Ovis aries: one gene and its partner. The protein of the gene in region 1 purifies or fractionates together with the protein of each later gene. This does not show direct contact. Links are inferred from orthologs where the notes say so. Each region holds a gene or a part of one and is shown on either strand. Other genes may lie near its edges. The genes, in order: VAMP5 and STX12.

The links.
Region 2: the proteins of VAMP5 (region 1) and STX12 purify together in Homo sapiens (affinity purification with mass spectrometry; 3 studies listed by BioGRID and IntAct, with this or other methods). This does not show direct contact. The link is inferred for Ovis aries from reciprocal best matches to the Homo sapiens genes VAMP5 and STX12.

Annotation. Positions count from the first base shown.
Region 1 is NC_056056.1:57,427,784-57,432,323, forward strand, and holds the start of VAMP5 (vesicle-associated membrane protein 5), read left to right. Parts: upstream 1-1,563; 5' UTR 1,564-1,607; intron 1,608-4,540. UniProt on the Homo sapiens protein: May participate in trafficking events that are associated with myogenesis, such as myoblast fusion and/or GLUT4 trafficking.
Region 2 is NC_056055.1:239,290,726-239,294,534, reverse strand, and holds part of STX12 (syntaxin-12), read left to right. Parts: intron 1-325; coding exon 326-431; intron 432-3,809. UniProt on the Homo sapiens protein: SNARE promoting fusion of transport vesicles with target membranes. Together with SNARE STX6, promotes movement of vesicles from endosomes to the cell membrane, and may therefore function in the endocytic recycling pathway.

The DNA of each region.
Region 1 (4,540 bases):
TCACAGGACAGGGCCTGTGGCTTTCCTTCCCCTCCTGGACAATGGACCTCTCTGTCTTTGGGCCTCCCTCCTCCCCACCAGGTCCCACCATCACTGTTACTCTTTCCAGTGTCCAGTGCATCTTAGTTTGGGGGGAGGTTCTTGTCATCTCTCTGCCCTGTCTGGGGGAAGAAGTCTGGAAGGGGCGGGGTTGGGAGACAGGACTGGGGACTAGTACTGGCCAATCCAGTTCTAGAAGCATACTCTGAAAACTAGGAAGGGAGGAAAGCACTGAAGAGCCCTTGGGGGGGGTCACTCTTGGTCACCATCATGTCCATCCTCTCCCTGCTCGGTCCACTCCTAGACTCAAAGTCCAAGCAACTGGGGTGAGTGGGACCTAGACCTTCCAGGGTGAGGGTGGGGTCTGTGCTCACAGGGGCCTCAACCTGGGAGAGGGAAGTCAACACCCTCTTCCTCAAGAGGGGCCACATTTGAGATGTTGGGTTGGTACGAGACCAGGTAGAGAACTGGTTGGTGTTGGCTTCTGTGCAGCAGTGAAAGGAGAGGGTGAAGATGGACAGATTCAGCTCAGGAAGGCTCTGGACAGACAGACACACCAGCCTCCCTCATCTTCCAACTGAGGAAGCTGGTCCTATCAGGGCAGGGCTGCCATGGCCCATGCGGTGAAGAGGAAATAAAGAAAAAGCTAGGGCTAGCACCTTCCCCACTGGAGTCTGTCTTATTGAGGTGAAATTCACAAAACATACAATCAACCCTTTTCAAATGTACAATCTGAGCTTGCCTGGTGGTTCAGATGGTAAAGAGTTTGCCTGCAATGCAGGAAACCTGGGTTTGATCAGTGGTCAGGAAGATCCCCTGGAGAAAGGAATAGCTAACCACTCTGGTATTCTGGCCTGGAGAATCCCACAGACAAAGGAGCTTCGTGAGCTACAGTCCATGGGGTCGCAAAGAATCAGACACAGACTGTGTAACTATCACACACACAAATGTACAATCCAGTGTCAGGCAGTGCATTCATGATATTTATTGTGAATAAACTTTATTCAGTTTCAGAACTTTGGAGGGGTGGGGGTCGGTTTTTGGTTATGGGTGAGTTGCAGCAACACTGGCCAGGCTCTTCACTGCGTCTGCAGTCCCCTAGCGCAGCGCGGGACAATGGCGCTCCGTCGAGCGCCTGCCTGTTGAATGAACAAATGATGCCTGTCCAGATGAACTCCAGGTGAACTCGTCTGCCTGATTTGGATGCAGTTCCAGAGAGGATCCGCTGAGCCCGCGTTCGCGAGCCCACTCCACTGCGACTGTTTCATACACAGGACTCCTGAGGTGTAGATCTGGCACCAAGCTGATTAGGTGGAGACCCCACTTCACGAGGCTGGGGAATCCTCCCGAGCCGGGCGCCGCCAGCACCGCGAGAGGCGCTGTGTCCGGATCCCGGGAGCCATCGCCGGCAGCTTTCGATTTGGCCGGGTTTCGGTTGCTGCTCAGAGGAGACGCGCCCCCCGCCCGCTCCGGGCAGGCCCCGCCCCGCCCTCCGCTTCCTCCCGGGCCCCTGGCACTGCGGCCACTCGGGCAGAAGAGCCGGAGCGGGCGAGGCGGTTGCGGCGATGGTGAGGGCCCGGAGCGGGGCAGGGGGCAGAGGGAGAGCGTGGGGGTGCTGGGCGGCAGTCCGAAGTCCAAGGGCGGGGGCATCCTTCGCGACCCACGCCCGTTCCCCGGCGAGGTGACGACGGCCGGCCCGGAGCCTGGACCCGTCCGGACCCTTCGCTCCCCGCGCGCATCCCGGGAGGGAAAGTACGGAACTTGCCGGTCCTGGCTGCCCCTCGCCCTGTGAGTGAGCGGGACTTGCCGGAGCCGAGCAGTTACGCACCGGCTTTCTTCGGAGTGAGACTCTGTGCTGAGGTCCTGGTGGCGGCCACTTAGACGCTCTGTGACCCCGGGGCAAGTCACTTAGCCTCCCCGAACCTCCTTTTCCGCATGGTGAAGTGGGGTCAGCAGTACCTGCCTGGCTGGGTCCTTAGGAGGTTGAAGGAGATACAATGGCAGAGATCTGTCTGGCGCTCAGAACCTGCTTCTGAGAAGTGGTGGGTAATATGATGACCTCTGCAGCCCTTCCTGGGGCGGTGAGGAGCCAAGTCTGGCCCAGGAGTTGGAAACCTGAGCAGATGGGGTGGTAGAGGCCAGGCCAGCCCTGTGACAGGGTGTTGGAGGGCAAACTCCTTCTCCTGGGGAAAGAGAAAGGAAGATGTTTACAATAAAATTTCCACTGAAGTTATCAGTGGGGCATAGCTTGACTCCCGTCTAAGCCTTACCTAAGGACACATTCTTGAGTTGAGTCATCCCCTACTCCGTGCTGTAGACTCTGGCCTCTGTCCCTGCTTGTCATTTCCAAGGCAAAGGTGTTAGAAGCAGGTGGTGTCAGTCGCTTCTCCCCTTCCCTGGAACTCAGGGGAAGTTGTGTCCAGCAGGAAGCAGGCTCAGCGCTTTAAAATTCTGCCATGCAGGGACTTCCCTGGTGGTCCAGCAGTTACGACTCTGACCTCCCAATGCAGGGGGCATAGATTCGATCCCTGGTCAAGGAACTAAGATCCTTGCATGGTGCAGCCAAAAAAAAAAAAAGATCCTGCCATGGAGAAGCAGCAGAGGTGTGATGGATGTGGTCTGGCTAGGGGTTGAGATGCCAAGATGGCCTCATCTCCAGGGAACTGGAGGCAGGAAGAGGAAGCCGGGCAGGAAGGTAGCGATGAGCTCTAAGGCTGGGCCAGGAAACCGAGGGAGGCCTGGAGAATGGGGTAGAGCCTGGAGCCCATTTTCCAGCATGCAGAGCAAGAAATCAGGCAGGGTTAGGATGGGCTTGCAGCTGGCCCTTAGTACTTGGTGAGAAGAGGAAACTCCTGAAATGAAGGCTGAGGATGGGATCATTTATTGGGGAGTACTGGAAAACTCTGGGACTCTCACAGGTTCATCTCAGGCAAATAGTGGATCTGAGCCTGAGATTTGATCTCTCTCCCAACCATCTCCTGGCCCCTTCCTGTCTGTGTTTTCTCTCACTCCTGCCCCTTTGTCCACCCCTAGCATTTTCCCTTTCTTCTTCCCATCTGGTCCTTCCCTACCTGGTCCTTCTTCTTCTTCTTCTTTTTTTAAAATGTTTATTTATTTATTTTCGCTGCTCTGGGTCTTTGTTGCTGTGCTCAGGCTTTTCTTTAATTGGGGAGAGCAGGGGCTACTCTCTAGTTGTGGTGCACAGGCTTCTCATTGTGGTGGCTTCTTGTTGCGGAGCACAGGCTCTAGGGTGTGTGGGGTTCAGTAGTTGTGGTGCATGGGCTTGGTTGCTCTGAGGCATGAGGAATCCTCCCAGAGCAGGGACTGAATCCGTGTCTCAACCACTGGACCACTAGGGAAGTCCTTTTCTTTGCTGATTCATTCAGTTAACAAGGGTTTGTTGGGCATTTCCTTTGCTAGTCATGGTGATGGGTACAGGGAATAGGGTAGGAACAAAATACTGATGGGAAAGGCAGAAACTGAGTGGGGAATGACTTGATTTATTCATCTTGTAGATGGTCCTCACTTATGCACTGTGCAAACCATTTGGGTTTTTGAGCCACAGGCCTTCCTCATTTGCACATAAATTGAGTTGGCAGCATCAAAAGGTCTGGTGGGTCTTTAGCCAGTCAGCTAAAGCATTTGACCTCCCTTTAGCACCATCCAGTTTAACACAGGGGTTAAGAATGTGATCCTTGAAGACTAAGTCGGTTCAGGTCCCAGATTTTCTGTTCACTGACTCTGTGACCTTGGCTGGGTGATTTAACCCCTCTGAGCCTCGGTTTCTTATAAAACTGAGATAAAGGTACTTTTCTCAGTGTATTGTTGTGAGGCTTTAATGAGATAAATTTGAGCAGTCAGCTAGCAGCTCAGTGCTTAGCTCAGAGTATGTGCCCATTGATTGGGAGCTTTTATTACTGTCAAGATGTAAAACATTCTCAACAGCCTGCAAGGCCTGATGGAAATGCACTAGATGTAAGTTATCAAAGGCCCATGTCAAGTTCTATATATAGGTTAGAGACAATTATGTGCACAAGTTGGCCATAGGGAAGAGCTTGCTTGGCTGTGTATTTTGTAAAAATATTTGAGTTTTATTTAAAAATGTTTTTTAGATTCATTTATTTATTATTTTATTATTTATTAAAAAAACTTTTTTTGAGCATGGTGGGTCTTTGTTGCTTCACGCAGGCTACTTTCTGGTTGCGGCGCGCGGGCTTCTCATTGTGGTGGCTTCTCTAGGCGTGTGGGCTTCAGTAGTTGTGGCTAAGAGGATTTATTAACCACAAGTATTGTGTGGTTCCTGGGATCTGACAGCTTAAAAAAAATACTAGGGAAAATTGGGCTATAGCAATATATGAAGTGTTAGTCCCTCAGCTGTGTCTGACTCCTTGAGACCCTATGGACTATATCCCACCAGGCTCCTCTGTCATGGAATTCTTCAGGTAAGAATACTGGAGTGGGTTGCCATTCCCTTCTCCAGGAGATCTTATAGCAATAATAA
Region 2 (3,809 bases), on another chromosome or scaffold:
ATGGGCCAGAGATTTCAAATCTCTGCCTGCTTCTTGTCTAGCAACTTTATAGCGTGTATCCCTGGATGGAAACAGCAAGGAGTCCCATCCCTTGTAATTCTGCCTTCTCTTAGTTTTGCCCATGAAAGCTGAGACTTGGTTTTCTTGGTGTTACCAGTTCTTTGCCTCTGGATGTGAAGAATGTAACCCCCAGGGACTTGTATTGTTACCAGAGGAGTTGGAGGCCTGGTACCGTCTTTGGACAGGCTCTGCTGACAGCAGAGATGATATGTCTTAGGTACACCTTTGCGGGGAGGAATCAGCCCATGTGCTTGTCTCCCTGCAGCCATGAGGAGTGGAACCAGATGCAGAGACAGGAGGATGAGGTGGCCATCACCGAACAGGACCTGGAGCTTATTAAAGAGAGGGAGACAGCGATTCGGCAGCTGGAGGTGAGGGCCAGGTCATGTTTTTTGTTTGACTCAGTGTATCTGCAATCTGGTTTTTCTCTCATTGATTATGAAAAAGGATGAAATGAGTTGTACAGTTTGCATATTATGTGTCAGTGTAATCACGGTGAATTTGACCTACTCTTATGACCATATCAGGATTCCCTGGTACCTCAGCTGGTAAAGAATCCACTTGCAATGTAGGAGACCCTGGTTTGATTCCTGGGTTGGGAAGACCCGCTGGAGAAGGGATAGGCTACCCATTCCAGTACTCTTGGGCTTCACTGATGGCTCAGCTGGTAAAGAATCCATCTGCAATGCGGGAGACCTAGGTTCAATCCCTGGGTTGGGAAGATCCCCTGGAGAAGGGAACGGCTACCCATTCTAGTATTCTGGCCTGGAGAATCAGGCCACAAAGAGGATTCAGGGTCACAAAGAGTTGGACATGACTGAGCAACTTTCACACTTCACTAGGATGGTACTGGTCATGGTGCCTGAGGATACCTGGACCCCCTTTTCAGTCACCATATTTTATAAGGTCTCCATGAGAATACCCATGGAGAACAGAACAAGGCCAACAAATATTTTATTAAGACCTTGTCCCCAAACCTCAATGCCAGTCTCTAGGTTCGGTGGGGCTCTACGGAGAGCCCTTTGCTTAGTCTGAATAACCCAGAGTAAAGATAGGCCAAAAAGTTTGCTCCATTTTTGCGCATCTGAAAGTCCAATCACAAATTGTGGATATCCCATCTGTGAGTCAGAGAAACAGGAACAATTTTTGAGGTGAGGGTTGAGAGAGAAGTCTCAAGGCCTTTCTTACCTGAGTTTCCAACTTTAATTTTTTGCATGATGACCAGTAAAATATCCTTAAACCTGAGTACTTTTCTCCATGGAGATGGAAGACTGCCATCTTGGGGACAGTGGGGGGAGGAGGGTTGTAGAGAGGAGAAACTTTGATCTCCTCCTTGACCTTCATCTGTGGCAGTGGTTCTGAACCCTGACTGTACTTTTAGAATCACTTGGAGATTTTTTTTTTTAATGCCCCACCTCTTCTCATCCCCGCACCAATTACTAGTTTGAACTGCATGTGATTTTCTTATTTTTTTGTAGGTTAAAAATGGACAAACATCCACAGGAAGCCCTGGGTGAGGGCATTTTTTATCTTACAAACTTCCCAGGTGATTACAAAGTGCAGTCAAGGTTGAGACACATTTCCCTAGAGCCCTCTGTTTTTTTCTCTTGATACTTCTTCTTTTTTTTTTTTTTTTATTGAAGGATAATTGCTTTACAGAATTTTGTTGTTGCCCTCTGTTTTTTGATGAAACAGTTCATCCTTGTGCTCGTACTTGTGCTTTGTGACCCCATGGACCGTAGCCTGCCAGACTCCTCTGTCCAAGGGAATCTCCAAGCAAGAATCCTGGAGTGGGTTGCCATTTCCTACTCTATGGGATCTTCCCAACCCAGGGATTGAACACATACCTCCTGTGTCTCCTGGATTACAGGTGGATTCTTTACCGGCTGAGCCATCAGGGAAAGCCAGAAGTTTGACTTCAAAGATGTCATGTGTTTTCTTTTTCATCTATTGCTACTAATCATCTAATTGATTCTTTCACATGAGAAATCCCATTCAGCCGAGAGTAGAATGAGATGTGTGGAGCTGAGGAGAGGAGTGTCATGGGCACTTCACGTTCAACAGAATCAAGGTCTAATTCCTTAGCTGTTGCACTTTCGTGTCCAGTCATTTCCTGCATCTAACATGCAAACCCTGCTCTAACAGTGCAGCAACACACTCCGGTGTGCTTCTCTTCTACTCCCACTCTATCCTTCCCACACTCTGGTCACCAAATATGTGTTTTTGCCCCCCACATCAAGCAATTCTGCCACATCATCAAGATACGCTACAGTGCAACTTAGTTCTAATACTGTCTTCCTGGAGTTAGCCTCAGATCCCACAGATTGAAGGTTCAGTCCCACAAGACTGACCCCCGTTTCTGCGACTTCAGGTGCCAGTCGCAAATCCAGGTTGTCACCTGTGCTTCTGACCAACAGGTTGGAAATTGGAAGTTCTCATGATCCCCTCCTTGGGTTTGATTAATTAGCTGGAGCAGCTCACAGAACTCAAGAAAACAGTTTACTCATTAGGTTACTGGTTTATTATAAGAGGATACAGCTCAGGAAGAGCCAGACGGAAGAGATGCATAGGGCAAAGTATATGGCCAGGGGTACATGGCTTCCATGGGGCTTCTCCGGTGGTGCAGTGGCAAAGAATCTGCCTGCAGTGCAGGAGATTCAGGAGACATGGGTTCTATCCCTGGGTCAGGAAGATCCTCTGGAGGAGGACATGGCAACCCACTCCAGTATTCTTGCCTGGAGAATCCCATGCACAGAGGAGCCTGATGGGCTATAGTCCATAGGGTTGCAAAGAGTCAGACATGACTGAAATGATTGAGCATGCACGCATGCATGGCTTCCATGCCTTCTCCAGGCCTACTACACTCCCCATATCTCCATGTGTTCACTAACCAAGAAGCTCTCTGAACTTCTGGTTACATGAGCATGATTAATTAAATAATTGGCCTTTGGTGATTGATCTAACCTTGAGCCCTCCACCCCTCCCCAGAGGTTGGAATTGGGGCTGAAAGTTCCAATCAACTAAACACCAGGTTGGTTCCCCTGGCAACTAGTCCCCATCCTTAGGGGTTTTTACAAAAGCCAAGCTATTAACATACTTAGGAGTGGTTGAAAGGGTTTGTTTTGAATTAAAAAGGACATCTTTATCTCTTTTATCACTTAGAAAAAAATTTTAGGAGCTCTGTGCTCCGGTTGAGACAAAGATCAAATACATATTTCTTATTATGAATCATAATATCACATCCACGTTATAGCCAAACTGGGCTGTTTGTTCTATGTATATGGCTTCTTAAGTCCTGCCTCTTCTGCCATAGTCTTCCTTCTCTGCTTGAGGTAAATGCTATACCACTTATTAGTCATTTACCATATAATACCCTTTCTTTTAAGTGCTGCACTCAATAATGTCAGCAAATTTGGAAAACTCAGCAGTGGCCACAGGACTGGAAAAGGTCAGTTTTCATTCCAATCCCAAAGAAAGGCAATGCCAAAGAATGCTCAAACCACCGCACAATTGCACTCATCTCACATTCTAATAAAGTAATGCTCAAAACTCTCCAAGCCAGGCTTCAGCAATACGTGAACCGTGAACTTCCTGATGTTCAAGCTGGTTTTAAAAAAGGCAGAGGAACCAGAGATCAAATTGCCAACATCTGCTGGATCATTGAAAAAGCAAGAGAGTTCCAGAAAAACATCTATTTCTGCTTTATTGTGGAGAAGGCAGTGGTACCCCACTCCAGTACTCTTGTCTGG